Linked DNA regions of Oryzias latipes. The protein of the gene in region 3 purifies or fractionates together with the protein of the main gene of each other region. This does not show direct contact. Links are inferred from orthologs where the notes say so. Each region holds a gene or a part of one and is shown on either strand. Other genes may lie near its edges.

Evidence for each region. The genes of interacting proteins can lie anywhere in the genome.
Region 1: the proteins of rad18 (region 3) and shprh purify together in Homo sapiens (affinity purification with western blotting; 3 studies listed by BioGRID and IntAct, with this or other methods). This does not show direct contact. The link is inferred for Oryzias latipes from reciprocal best matches to the Homo sapiens genes RAD18 and SHPRH.
Region 2: the proteins of rad18 (region 3) and polh purify together in Homo sapiens (affinity purification with western blotting; 7 studies listed by BioGRID, with this or other methods). This does not show direct contact. The link is inferred for Oryzias latipes from reciprocal best matches to the Homo sapiens genes RAD18 and POLH.

Annotation. Positions count from the first base shown.
Region 1 is NC_019880.2:661,019-665,924, reverse strand, and holds the start of shprh (E3 ubiquitin-protein ligase SHPRH), read right to left. Parts: upstream 3,420-4,906; 5' UTR 2,694-3,419; intron 2,591-2,693; 5' UTR 2,392-2,590; intron 1-2,391. UniProt on the Homo sapiens protein: E3 ubiquitin-protein ligase involved in DNA repair.
Region 2 is NC_019873.2:20,691,350-20,696,334, reverse strand, and holds the start of polh (DNA polymerase eta), read left to right. Parts: upstream 1-1,566; 5' UTR 1,567-1,774; coding exon 1,775-1,911; intron 1,912-2,208; coding exon 2,209-2,343; intron 2,344-2,422; coding exon 2,423-2,664; intron 2,665-2,786; coding exon 2,787-2,965; intron 2,966-3,031; coding exon 3,032-3,135; intron 3,136-3,204; coding exon 3,205-3,324; intron 3,325-3,745; coding exon 3,746-3,869; intron 3,870-3,949; coding exon 3,950-4,015; intron 4,016-4,096; coding exon 4,097-4,269; intron 4,270-4,347; coding exon 4,348-4,985. Other genes in the region: uncharacterized protein LOC105355791, read right to left, coding at 1-72, 269-314. UniProt on the Homo sapiens protein: DNA polymerase specifically involved in the DNA repair by translesion synthesis (TLS). Due to low processivity on both damaged and normal DNA, cooperates with the heterotetrameric (REV3L, REV7, POLD2 and POLD3) POLZ complex for complete bypass of DNA lesions.
Region 3 is NC_019863.2:2,755,265-2,760,451, reverse strand, and holds the start of rad18 (E3 ubiquitin-protein ligase RAD18), read right to left. Parts: upstream 3,026-5,187; 5' UTR 2,913-3,025; coding exon 2,862-2,912; intron 1-2,861. UniProt on the Homo sapiens protein: E3 ubiquitin-protein ligase involved in postreplication repair of UV-damaged DNA. Postreplication repair functions in gap-filling of a daughter strand on replication of damaged DNA.

The sequences.
Region 1 (4,906 bases), on a different chromosome or scaffold from region 3:
CTTTCATTCAAATTAATTCAAATAAGTAGGTGTAACTTTGATGCTGCTGTTAGATCGGCACCGCAAGGGATTCTGGGATACCATTCCCTTAGCCTGTCTGGACGGATTTGGGTTCAAGTGTGGCTTTTTGACCAAATGTGTTTAGTTGTTTAGCTGTTTTACTGTGTTTTGTCTAGTTATTTTGTCCTATGTTTAATTCTTTCTGCACCATGAGTGAGAGGGAGGGAGAGGAGGATGAGTTTATATAGCACCACTAGTGCAACAGTACTGAATAAGAATTGAAGTCACAGTCAGTCATAATAATAAAATACATGATATATATTATAAATCCAAACTAGATTATTCATTTTATTGTTATAAATATGAGAATATCTGCAGGCTCAAATATAGACATCTGAGAGTTCAAGAAGTACAATAAATGAAGATGGAAAAACATTTAATTGAATTGGAGTAAAATGACATTTAGTTAGATAAATATGTAAATTTCTGTTGTATAAACACGGAGTTGGATAGACGTAAGAAATTAGGTTGAATAAATTTAACCCAATTACTTGTTACCAATTGAATGAATTTAAGTTTTATAAGTTACATATATTTATGCGTCACAATGAAAATAGAAATAAGATCAGAAACTCGTGCGTTTACTTTGTCTGTTCTTTTTCTCCACACGTTTCCATGGTGACTCCTTAAATCGGCGATCCATTGAGAATGTCTTTATGTACCTGCTGTGCACGTGCGTTAACCCAGGGTTACCAAGTGGAGCGTAATGACGCCAACTCATATCCGGTCTCTTGGAACCGACATACCCAGAGTAAGCAAGTTCAGGAGGATTTCAGCCAGAGTTCAGGCTTAAAGTCAGAGGAGTTTAAACGGGCCTTCTGGAATACCCCCCTGGTCCAGAGGTCAAGCTTCAGACCAGATGACAAAAAAACGGCTCCGCTTAATCTGAACATTAATACTTTAGCCAAAAAATGTAACGAAAGTGACTCAAGTGTACTTAGTAATAGCAGAAGTAATCTATTACTGCCATGAGTCTGACGTAAGATCCTTTAGTCTGAACCAGACATGGAGAATTTCTGCTTTAGGACAACGTAGACCCACCCGGCCTGACTTTAGGAACCATCAGCCTTAAGTTTACGGCTCTCTACTACTTCCTGTCTGGGACTTAAAAACTGAAGAGGAGGAGAACTTCACCCACTGAGGAGAACCCTCACCCACTGAGGAGAACCTTCTCCCACTGAGGAGAACCCTCACCCACTGAGGAGAGCCTTCTACCACTGAGGAGAACCTTCACCATCTGAGGAGAACCTTCACCCACTGAGGAGAACCTTCTCACACTGAGGAGAACCCTCACCCACTGAGGAGAACCTTCTCCCACTGAGGAGAACCCTCACCCACTGAGGAGAACCTTCACCATCTGAGGAGAACCTTCACCATCTGAGGAGAACCTTCACCATCTGAGGAGAACCCTCACGCACTGAAGAGAACCTTCACCCACTGAGGAGAACCTTCACCCACTGAGGAGAACCTTCTACCACTGAGGAGAACCTTCACCATCTGAGGAGAACCCTCACGCACTGAGGAGAACCTTCACCCACTGAGGAGAACCCTCACCCACTGAGGAGAACCTTCACCATCTGAGGAGAACCCTCACGCACTGAGGAGAACCTTCTACCACTGAGGAGAACCTTCACCATCTGAGGAGAACCCTCACGCACTGAGGAGAACCTTCACCCACTGAGGAAAACCCTCACCCACTGAGGAGAACCTTCTACCACTGAGGAGAACCTTCACCCACTGAGGAGAACCTCATCCCACTGAGGAAAACCCTCACCCACTGAGGAGAACCTTCTACCACTGAGGAGAACCTTCACCATCTGAGGAGAACCCTCACCCACTGAGGAGAACCTTCTACCACTGAGGAGAACCTTCACCATCTGAGGAGAACCCTCACGCACTGAGGAGAACCTTCACCCACTGAGGAAAACCCTCACCCACTGAGGAGAACCTTCTACCACTGAGGAGAACCTTCACCCACTGAGGAGAACCTTCACCCACTGAGGAGAACCCTCACGCACTGAGGAGAACCTTCACCCACTGAGGAAAACCCTCACCCACTGAGGAGAACCTTCTACCACTGAGGAGAACCTTCACCATCTGAGGAGAACCCTCACGCACTGAGGAGAACCTCATCCCACTGAGGAAAACCCTCACCCACTGAGGAGAACCTTCACCATCTGAGGAGAACCCTCACCCACTGAGGAGAACCTTCACCCACTGAGGAGAACCCTCACCCACTGAGGAGAACCTTCACCCACTGATGCGGACTCAACCACGCTACTGTCTGAAAATGTCAGGAAGAAGAAGAGCCTCTGGTCCTCTGAGGATCACCTCTGAAGGAGTTCTTGCCGCTCCTCACTGCTCCTCCTTTACCCAGCATGCATTTCCAAACTCCTTCAGGGTTCCTGCTTCTTTGGACTCTCGCTGTGGCTGTTTGGTTCTCCTCCAAACACACGGAGCTTACAGCACCTCCTCCGTTTGGTTCTCCTCCTCTCTGTGGAAAGTCCCCCTGCGTTCCCACTGAAGTGAACTGTACCAGAGTACCAACCATACCAAACCTGGATCAGACCAGTACAAAGCCTGGATCAGACCTGGATCAGACCAGGACCAGACCTGCCAGAGGGGATGCTTACCAAGATTTGGTTCTGAGCATGAAGGAGGGAGAACAGAGCGACCTGGACTGCTGCAGAAGAACAGAGAGGTGGGGAACCTGTTCCAGGTGTTCAGGTGGACCTGTTCCAGGTGTGCAGGTGGACCTGTTCCAGGTGTTCAGGTGGACCTGTTCCAGGTGTGCAGGTGGACCTGTTCCAGGTGTTCAGGTGGACCTGTTCCAGGTGTGCAGGTGGACCTGTTCCAGGTGTGCAGGTGGACCTGTTCCAGGTGTTCAGGTGGACCTGTTCCAGGTGTGCAGGTGGACCTGTTCCAGGTGTTGTCACAGAGAAGGTTCGTTATGATTTTACCTCAGCAACCCTCTGCTCTTGTGGTGTCTCGAGCTGCTCTGTGATTGGCTGATAAAGATGCGCCTCACGCTACATTCCCATCAGAAGAACCCGCCACACAACCGGAACATCCTGCGTTTATGAGCGCGCGTGCTTCCCGCGCATTCCCTTAATAAACTTCAAATGTTGACAGGAATCATTCGGTCTGAGGGAAACGGAGCCGCAGACACAAAAAGAAAGAATTTCACGTCTGGAGAAAAGAGCTTCGGTACCGTCAGAACCTGCGGGGATTAGAGCGGAACCGGAAGCAGCTTCATGTTGACGAAAGGCCACACAAACAACAACAAAAACAAACAAAACGAAGCATTCAAGCAGCAACAGCAACGATCGCCATTTTTGTTTAAAGGAAGTGACGTAGCGGAAGTCAGATCTCACTTAAAGTCCATCCGTTTGTAAATTAAATCAGTCAACAGTCCACAGGATCAAAAAGCTGGTTTTGATTTTATAAAATAAAAAATATGGTTGATTTGGTACAAAGTTGGTGGTTTGATTTGACGCCCAAACGCAGAGAAACTGTTGATTTATGATCACATTAAAATAATGAAAATGAAAGGAGTTTGTTAAAATAAAAACACCAAATAAACTGATATTATGTGTGGTCTATTGTTAGACAATCTGTTTTTAAACTTTTTGTCAAGTCTGGCCAAAAACCATTTTCCTTTTTACATCTAGGTGAGTTTTAGTTTAGTCCCAGGTGAGATAGTTTCATCACTTTACGTTTTTGAATTTCCTTTTTTTATCTGTTTCTTCATTAGTGGTCTACTGATTATTATTGAACTATAATTGGATTCATATCATGATTTGTGGTCCCTTCTGGGCCACCGTACAGATTTGATTCCAAGTGAATTTTGGTTCATTCTGAACAATCCGATTGGATCCGATTTTCTGACCTGAAGTGGATCCAGATCATCTTCATCCCAAACTTTTCCAGATCCTTGGATTTCTTCAGGATAATCAAGTGTAAACGATTAACACACAACTGTGATTACACTTAATTTACATGTTTTTATGTTATAGTAAATAGATAAATGAAAGTAAATCTCAGACGGATCAATCTGGTTGGATTGGAATATTATAAAAAGTGACATAAAGGAGGCATCATGAAAAACTGCCTTATTCAACTGTGTCAACTTTGAAAAGAAATTATAATTACCACACATATTAACATGTGTTTTTGTTTTCTTGTCTTAAATTTAAAAAATCAGATGTATCTAAAATATTTTACATTTTATGAATCATATCTATTTATTCATGTATATAGATAAATGTTAACATTCAAGTAGGAAATAACCAAATAGTCTTATCCTATTCTATTGTAATTTTGTTATAAAGGCTGTGATATACTAATGACTATATTACTGTATTATTACTCTGATAAATATCTGTTTAAATACAATCGAGTTGTTGAAATAATTTATATCATTTGTTTCTTTTCTGAATCTTTAGTTTAAATCCAGATGGAACGATGACGTTGCAGTTCCAGACATGTGCACATGGGGGCAGCAGATTCCTTCCCTCGTTGTCTGATGGGGGAGTAGGGGGGGTCCCGTGTTTTTTCTTCTAAGGAGGGGGGTGTAATCGTGTTATTTTGTCCCGCTTTGGTTCTCATTTTTCTGGACTTTCTTTACTTCTCAGACTTGAAGACATTTTTCTGTTTCAGAGCTCTGATCCACTTTTCCTGTCAGAAGAAAATCCAAAGTGTTTCCGTTATAGATGCGTCACTGCCCACCCCCCACCCCCACACGTGTGCGAAGCGCGACTCCGAATCAGGGACACTGCAGCGAATGTGACCCGCTTCAGGATGCAGTGAGGAAGAGGAGAAGAAGGGGGCATGTCGTGATCACGGG
Region 2 (4,985 bases), on a different chromosome or scaffold from region 3:
AAGGGATAGAGATGGATTCTCCGGGCTTCACTGATGTTTCTTTGACTGTAGTTATGCTACAATAGCAAACTCCTGCAAAAATAAAAATAAAAAATGTATTCAGAGGGGAACCATTAGCTATTCCACAATTTGATTCAAACCAAAGACTTTTTTACATTAAGTCAAGACAAATAAGTACTTTAAATAATTTAAAATAATGTGAGAAGCACAGATAGTGTAAGCCATGTTAATTACAAAAATAAAAGTAAATGTTAACGATTCTTCTTACCTGTTAGACCAACAAGTATCAGAAAACAATTGGAAAGAAAGATCATTTTACGCTGTGTCCAAATTCCCACTCTAAACCCTAACCATTTAAAAACGATATGAGTAGTGAAGGACTTCAGACAGAGTCACTGATGGTTAGAGACACGCAACAAAAACTGATGCAATGGATCTGTCCTTTAACTGAATTTCTACTTCCCCTTTTTTAAGCCAATAACTACATCTCTAAGCTGTTTCCAGCAATTATTTAAACAATGACAAATAAGATAAAGAGTGCCTGGCAATGGGAAAATGTTCTGCAGAACCGTTTAGATGTAAACCCACTTTTATTCAGGGTGATGTTCACTGTTGCTTTTTTGTTTATTATTGTTGAAGTTTATTTCCTAACGAATATTTCCGTAGTATTTTTCAGCAAGTACTAAGTTTTAAAACAAAAAAGTTTCTTTAATTTTGAAAACATTCTCTGACAGATCTCAAGTATGATTTACTTTTGCAGAAAAGAATTTTAGAAATTGCCAGTGAAGAACAACAACAAACAAAAAATTAAGAAAAACCTTGTCAAATAAGATTAATATGATTTTGTTTTCTACAATAGTGTGGCAATGATAAAGAGACACGTCTTGTCTTTTGAAGGTGAAGCTTTAGTTTAAAAAAGGCAAATCTAACAGACTGCAGCTGTTAAAATCAGTTAGATTATTATCTAAAATGTGAAGAAATGTTCTCATTTAAACTCATGTTAAAACCTTTGTCGTAATCATCCCAACACAGACATTTCAACTGAAATATTTATGCTGACTAATTGACTCAATTGAAAAAGTATTTTTTTTTAACAAAACAATGCTTTTTGGAAAATGAAATGCATTTAGAAATGCATCCTTCCTAACCATACATTTTTGAAAGTACCTAAATGTACCCTGCTGTCTTAACTTTTGTGTTTATTCTAACAAAGTCTCAGTAATAAAAAATAAAAAGAAATCCCCTTTTACCCCAAAATATTAATTATTATTTAAAAAAAATACCGGGATAAGCCCGCGTGCATGAGAAACAAGCTGGTTTGTTTCTTAAATCTTTCTTCTTTTTTGGGAGTTTGGTTCATAGATAGATTTATAATAAAAAACTTAAGATTCTTTAAAAAACAACATTGATTTGGGACAACAAGAATTTTGTGGAAAAATATTATGGTCAATCGTTCCCGCATTATTTTTCTTTTATTGATAAAAGTAAAACATGTTATTATTATCATTATTATTTCTTGTTTATATTTTCAATAAAGTTAAAATAAAAAAAACGATCGTCGCCTGTTGATGACGTTTTTCCAGAGGCAAATTTGTCTGCCCGAAATATAAAGCTATAAAGCCGAATGTTTCCTGTACAGATCGGGTAGCGACAGCGACAGTCAACTTTAACTAAACAGGTTATGGTTAAAGTTCAAACCCGACCATGAACTAGTCACACACATTCAGTGGACGCATGCGTATTTAGTCGAAAAGGCTACTTGTCTTCGATTATCATGGAGTACGGAAAGGAGAGGGTGGTGGCTTTGGTGGACATGGACTGCTTCTACGTCCAGGTGGAGCAGAGGCTGAATCCAGCTCTGCGGAACACCCCCTGTGTGGTGGCGCAGTACAAAACCTGGAAGGGTGGCGGGTGAGTTCCTGACAGACTACTGAGTTTGGAACCATCAGCATAGATCACAGACGCGGTCTTTCGTGCAGCATCTCTTGCATTCAGCCGTGAAAACAGGAAGTTAGTTACGTCTGCCTCTATTTAGTCCAGGCTGCTCATTTAAATCTGGTCTACTTAGGCGGGAAATGTGTGTGGCATTTACTGATATTACTACCACAAGTAGTAATAATGAATGTTTATTCAAAATACAAAACGTCTCTTACTCTGCTGCCAGACTTTAACGGTTGCTGGCTTTTTTTATTTTTATTATTATATCAGTATTATAGCTGTCAGCTATGAAGCCAGAGCCCACGGTGTAACCAGGAACATGTGGGTGGATGATGCAAAAAAGCTGTGCCCGGATCTGCAGGTGGCTCGAGTCCGTGAGTCTCACGGCAAAGCCGACCTAACCCAGTAAGTCGGAGTCCTTGAGGGTAACCCACCTCCTGTCTGATGAGCGAAGGCTACGTGTACGAGCGCCCTCCGTTTGCAGTTACAGGGATGCCAGCGTGGAGGTGATCGAGGTGATGTCTCGCTTTGCCGTGATCGAGCGAGCCAGCATCGATGAGGCCTACATGGACTTGACGGCTGCCGTCCAGCAGCGGCTGAAGACCACGACTGAGGAACAAATGAGCCCTTGCCTCCTGAAGACCACTTACATTCAGGGGTATCCTCAAAGTGGACTGGATCCTCCCTCCGCAGATGCATCTCCAGAAGAGATGATTTTATATAAAGGTAACTTCTGACCTAACTTTAGGATGTATTATTCCATTTCTTAAGATTGTTGGTTGTTTTTCTTTTTAGACCAGAGGTAATGAAGGGGTTCGATTGTATTTACTCATCATTTTTCCCTGCAGAGGAGCTGAGATCCAAAGGTCTTCAGCAGTGGATGGAATCCTTACCTACGCCCTCATCAGGGGAGCTGAATTGTGCAGAACTGCAGCTGACCATGGGAGCGCTCATTGTTGAGGAGATGAGGGCTGCAGTGGAGAAACAAACGGGTTTCCGTTGCTCCGCAGGAATATCTCACAACAAGGTAGAGCCAAATCTTTTTTTCTGCAAAATCAGTAGCAACAGTTTAAGGTTAGCTTTCTTTTTTCAGGTCCTGGCTAAGCTCGCCTGCGGTCTGAACAAACCCAACAGACAAACCGTCTTGCCTTTGGAATCTGTGACGGAGCTTTTCAACTCTTTGCCCATTGGCAAGATGTGAGTCTAAAGCTTCACTCCAATAAAAGCACAATAAAAGCAAATGGTGACGCTGCTCTTCTTGTTCAGTCGGAACCTGGGGGGTAAGATGGGGGCTTCGATAATTGAAACTCTGAAAGTGGAGAACATGGGAGATCTCACTCGCTTCTCTCAGTCCCAACTGGTGCAGCACTTTGGAGAAAAAACAGGGTAAGAAAGCCACTGTTGTGATATGTCTGACCAAGATCACTTTTTTTTTTTTTAGATATATGCCCCCCCCCCCCCCCCTCTTTTTATTGTATTTGCATCTCTCTGTTTGCAGCCGGTTAAGTGACGAGTAAGAACAATAATCTGCAATTTTGAAATGTTAGATGCTTTGTCTTTATGGATACAGTTGTTTTTTAATTCAAATGATTAGACCTTCAGAGTTGAAAGACTAATGGAGCAAAACAAATGACATGTCCTAAAATCCAAAAACTAAACCATAAGCACAAAAACTAAATGACAAGAAAATGACACAAGTTCAGATATAATAGATACATATGGCTGTCATTCATAGTCAAAAACAAAAGAAAAGGTGACTAAAATCTATGAAATGGGTCAATCACACCTTCTGGATCTCTGTTTGCAGCCAGTGGCTTTATGACTTGTGCCGAGGGGTCGAGTCTGAAGCTGTTAAGCCCAGGCAGCTTCCCAAGTCTATTGGCTGCAGTAAAAACTTCCCTGGAAAGACGTCTCTAGCCACTAAAGAACAGGTAGAGCCGCATTTATTGCATGTTCCATCTCGTTGTCTGAAATTTGTCCCCTTCAATGCAACAATGAATGATCTGTGTAGGTACAGTACTGGCTTCATCAGCTGGCCCTGGAACTGGAAGAAAGGCTGAACAAAGACAAAGAAACGGTGAGCCTTTAGTTTTGTTTAGTGTATTTCTGATGACGTTCTAGTTGTGAAAGCTTATTATTTTTGTTCCTTTGCTCATAGAATGGTCGAGTGGCTAAGTTGTTGACGGTTGGTGTGCGTCAGCTTGGTGATAAGAGGCCCAGCAGCTTCTCTCGATGCTGCGCTTTGGTGCACTATGAGGCAGCCAAACTATCTAGTGACAGCTTTGCCATTATCAAGAGCCTCAACACAGCAGGAAACCACCAGGCTGCATGGTAATTTGGGGGGAGCAATGCAGTGGGACAATAAAACTGCAGGTTGATTTATTTAATAAGTGTGTCTTGTGTCTCCAGGACTCCACCGCTCACCTTGCTGCACCTCTCTGCTAGCAAGTTCAGCGACGCGCCGTCGTCCGGGGGGATTGCCGGCTTTCTCTCAGCCGGCGTCGCTCCAGGCCGGAGCGTTTCCGCCACCTCTAAAGTCTCAACTCCGCAGGCCTCTGAGCTGAAACAAGACTCTGCATGTAAACAGCGCGGGAGCATTCAGGCCTTCTTTCAAAAGGCACCAGTGAAACAGAAAGGGGTTAGGATGGATGTAGAGGAGGAAATTCCTCCACTTTCTGGTACTAGTCCAACATGTACTGATGACAGTCAGCTGCAGACAGCGGCCTGCTCCTCAGAGAGTTTGCCTCAGTCGAAGCTCAGTTCAGGCTTCTGTTCTTTTTTTCATAAAAAGACTCTGGAAAAAAGCAAACACGAACCCCAAAATAATCCTGGATCCTCTGAAAACAATGAAAGTAAAGCAGCTGAGACTGCTGGAGCAGAGCCACAATCAAAGCGTAGCTCAGAGCTCACACCACATCATCAACCACATGCAGAAGATTCTGATCCAGAATCAAATTGTAACCGTACAAGCGTGGCTGCAGAGGATCTATTGAAGTGCGATCGTTGCGGTCAGGAAGTCCTGGTCTGGGAAATGCCCGAACACAACG
Region 3 (5,187 bases):
TGTGAGTTTAGCAGAGTTTTGGGCAGACATGTGAAAGTGGTTGGATTTCTTGAATCACATAATGAGCGAGGCTACCAAATATGTCTGTGTTAACTGTAAACCCAAAAGTCCCAAAATCGAAAAGCTGGTGTGAATATGCTGATGCAGTGTCCTTGATGTTCAAACTCCCTTCCTTAAGGCATCACAGCAGTCGGATAGTTTCAGCTAACAGCCAGACGCTCCTTGTGTATCACAAATTCTGTGCCTGCAGATCATTTTATCATGTTTTAAAATGTTTCAATGCTCAGATTGAAACGATATACTTAGGAGGAAGTCTGTCCCACTACTTAGTGATGGAAATGTCCAATCCATTAAGAGCTTAGAGAAAGGGAACATCCAACGTTTGATCACAAAATAAGGCAAAGTATTAACCAGCACCATAGAGTCTGAACTTTCAAAGATGCTCCATTTGTAAACCTTTCTAGTAACCTTGTAGCTCCTCTCCACACTCGCTGCAATTTAGAAGTTAGTATAAATGACCAGAAGGAGGCTTTTCAAAGACTTGGTTTGAACAAATCCTATATTTGTCAGTGAGTTGTTTGATCAACATGAAGTACTAGAGTTTTTTTTAATCATCAGTCCCCAGGCAGGTAACTCAAAGCCATAGTAAAACATGAAAGAGTACACTCTAAAACAGTAAATATGAGGTTTGGCTGAGTCCGTGTTGCAGGACTGCTTTGCTTGCAGACAGTCTTTGAGGTAAGTTCTCAGTCTTTTAAGTTAAAATGGTTGGCTAATACTTCCTATATAATGTGGATGTTCTGTAAAGAAATTTCACTTCATTTGCTCTGTCAGTGAATTCAGTCAATCCTTCAGAGACATCCCAAAAGTCCTCAATAATCGGATTCAAAACATATTCAGCAGTTGTGGTTGAACTACCAACCCCTAACTCGAGACTGTAAAATCAGTGAAAACATGTGCAGTTATAGTTATTTTCCTTATGTTTTAAAGAGCCAATATCTCTCGTTATTCAGGAAAACCAATTCAAAATTCCAAAGCAAGTTTTCCTGGAAGGTTTTCTTAAAAAATGATTGTGATCTGAGGTACATTTAACAGCAGCAGGCCTGAAATATCCCTGAAGCCTCTGTGACTTTGTGTCCAATTTTTAAGTGGCAATGAAAACTGGATTTCATTCTAGATTAAAAAGAAAAACAGGCTTTTATGTAGGATATGTAATGAGATATACTACTATATGTGGATAAATTATGGGCGGGAACCTCTAAGATAAAAATGACCATCCTTCTGGAAAAATATCAGTATATTTTCAAATAACAATCCCATTTTTTCCTAGCTTATTCATAAATTCAGGCTGCCTTTCCGAGCTTTTAAGAGTATTAAAATTATTGCATACACAACAATAATCTTTACAAACTCATACTAAATGCCACAATTTTAAAATACCAACAAATTGTTTTTTGCATGAGCTTTTTTAGGTCTTTCCTGAATAATTTATATCTCAACAGACTGTGTAACCCTCCTTTTCATATAATAGCATTTTTCCTTGCCTAGTTGTATCTTACTTGTACTGTATTAACCAAAAAGTTCAAACTGATGTCTAATACACAAATTATAATAGTTAAAATAATTAAGGGATATTTTATAACCATTCATTTTATTCTTTGGTAAGATTTTTTTATATCCTTAAGTAACAATGCAACAATAGTTGCTGTTCTGAAGGAAAGTGCTAATGATGTTTATCTGCAAAAGCTCAACAACCTTATATTTTTATACTGGATTCTAAACATCTGCATTCACTCAGTTATGAGGGTAACTGCCGTAAATTAAGAGAAAATGAGTCGTATCAACAGAAAATATCTTTGGCTTGCCTTATTTACATTTTCAATTCAAGCAACTAGGTTGCAGGAAGATGATCTGACTTGGCCGATGTACTTTTATTTTAAAAAACGTATTTGCTGCAGTCAAAAAACAGAAATTCTTCTTTTTTTAACACCATGATTCCACACAACACCTGGCCTGTCGTTAGTTTACTCAAACCGTAATGGTTACAAAAACAGAAATACTATAGGGTTGTAACGATTAATCCACCTTATTGATCTATAATTCTACAATCCAAACAGATGGATCTGTCTGAGACGAGTTCCTAATGGAATCAACCTATGCTGTCCTAAAACTGTTTCAAAATTAAATAAAACTCAGTACCAGGTATTTGTCTCTGAGTCACACTGACTGGTTGAAGTTTAGTTCTGGATCTATTAGGTCAGTGAATCGTTCAAAATGAACCAATAACAACTATGGATCAGATCAGCAACCACAAATTATGATATGAATTGAATCGTTCAAATAAATCATTACAGCCCTAATAAATACAAATACTAACAAAAGGTGGGCTGATGTTTTAAGGCTCCTGCTGGGTTTTGGCTGGAGAGAAGCACAAGCAGACTCAAAAACTGGATGACAACCCTCTTCTTCAAGTTCGCTCCATCCTCACCTCAAGCGCCAATCTCCAACATCCCGGGCAGGATCAAGCGGGTTTAAAAATTTGGATTACAGTGTACAAACTTTTGTAAAACAATATACGTACACAAATAAATAAGCCCTCTGTGTTTGCGTAATATGAATTGTTGTTGGCGTTACTGCATTAGAACCACAGTTGACCTTACTAACTACTATCAAGCACCGAAAAGTCTATTTTTCCTTGAATCTGCTGCTAAAATGACAGTGAATGAGTGGGTTTTTGAACCAGTGTTGTATAAACTTCGTTTATCCAACGGCAAGTCAATGCCTCTAGCTTGTTCTTGCAGCTAGTCAGCATCTAACAAACCCGGTTTATTTTAAGCACCACAACAGAAGCGATATCTTACTTTCAAACATGCAAGACTTGCTGGTAGATCCGCTTCGATGTGATGGGCCATACTTCAGAACTAACGTTCATTTGTCGAGTCTGTTTATGTTGAAATTAGCTAAAGGCGTTTGTTTCTACTCTGCAGTCCCGCTCTAAAGATCGACATTGACGTCACAGCGGAACTTCCGCGGTGCGTTCAGGGCCGTCCGGTTTCAGGTCTCGACATAAAAAAGAGTCGCATTGATCAGTATTTTATTAAACCCTTGTGCTATCTTAGATGACCCCACCCTTACATTGACGTGTTCTCCCTACCATGACAAAGGTGGATAAAGGTGGAAAGATTTCATGTAATCCATGGACACCAGTGAGGATCGAAAAAAGAAAAAAAGGTTTAGTGCACTGTCTAGTGGGTCCAGATGACCCAACTCCCAATGTTAAAGTGCTAAGGGTTAATTTCATTTATGAAGTTTAATTTTATCAAAAACACAAGTTTTACACACCATTTATAAAAATTAACCTTTTTTTTCAACCAAGTATCATTCTTAAAGTATGCTGGGGAAATAATCAACAGATCCCCCAACCCCCGTTACCTTAAAGACCCATTCCGATTAAAATCCTGTTTTTGGTGTTTTTAACGTGTTCTTGTGCCATTTTTTCTCATGGTGAGGGACATTTAGAGAAAACTAAGCTTAAAATTGCATTTCTGAGTGTTTCTTTATTCAAATCGGTGTGAATGAGGAGCAGACGGAAAAAAAGGTCACTTGTCTATAGCTGCGTTTACATGGGCAAAAGTAATCGGAAAGAACGCCTGATCGGAAGGAAAATGCGTCATGTAAACGCGCCGTTCGGAATAGTGTGCCCCAATCAGACTCGTTCGGATCAAAATTTCTCTTCGATCGAGATAGGTGGGTTAGGCCGATCGTTTATTCGATCGTTGATCATGTAAACGGTCATTCCGATCGTGTGTCACTACTGCTCTGGTTTACGTCATGCATAGATGGTGTTTTGCTGAGAGAAAGCTTAGGAGCTCATAGGGGACCGACCAGCTGCTCTGCGGACGCCCTGTGAAAAGCGCCACTCCACTCTAGCCCCGCTTTTTTTTTTGTGTTTCCAGTTGTGTCCCGACTAAATAAAGGCTGATGTTATTCCCACACATTTACGTGCAGCCAAGATGCAGATTGCAGCGTTTCCCGTATGGTCCTGGCTTTTGTGTCCATCAAGGCTAATGTTGTTAGCCCGTGTTAGCCTCTCCTAACACTGGCTTCTTCCAGCTCCGTTCTTCGACAAAAAAAGCACTGACCACACGGATTAAATAAAAAGATAAGCGAACAGGCGCTTCATAACATTCATAACATTAATAAAAGCACGTTTTGAAGATCGTCTCGCATATTACCGAGCTGCTGCACAAAATAAATGTCTGTGGCAGCGATTTGTTTACTATGGGACCTATTTCCTCATCCGGGATTTTTTACACTACTGCGCATGCCCAAATTATTCATTCCGACCGAAAGTGTGAGCCATGGGAACGTTTGTTCTAATCGGAAAAAGGTTTTCTGTGCCCATGTGCACGGGTGAATTTTAACCCGACCATTGATCCGATCAAGATATTTTGCCCATGTAACCGCGGCTTATGTGATGCAGGACAACTGAGTTATATAGACTAGATTCGCTACACTAGCTTACATACACAAATTTGGCCGCCATATTGGAAAGGATCAGATGCTGGCTCACTGCTGTGCTATTATTGCACTAACAGAGCTGGAAAACAAGGATTTGACTTTCTACATGTAAATTAGTACTGTCAGCTAACAAAGGAGAATTTATAGAAAACATTTTAGGAAGAGCTGAGTGAGTTTACTCTCAGAATAGTGGACGTTAAGGCTGATCATGTAGTCTATTTAAAATCAATGGTAAAATTAAACTTCACACTACTTCCACCTTTTTTTGGCAGGACCACTTATCTTTTTTGTTGTTGTTTGGAGGCCGACCTGTTGAATTGAAGCATATTATTATGCTGAAGGAAATAAATCGACTAGAATCTCCTCTGTAGTGGTGAGCAAAGACCGCCGGGTGCATTGTCATGGCTGACGAGACTGTGGCAGACCCAGATGCTGAAACCCGGAAGGAATACTCGGCAGGCGAGGCAGACGAGTAGTAAAGGATTTAATGGAGGAATGACAGAGTTCCAAGAGAGGATGTTTTGTGGATGGTTGGAGGGTCTTGGCGGCGAACACCGCGTTTCCAGAAGGATGTCCAGAGGGGCGACGAGGAGGGACCAGAGCGAAGGTGAGTCGGAGTCCAGAACGTGACAGGCGTGATCGTGATCCTAGGCAGGCAGAGACAAG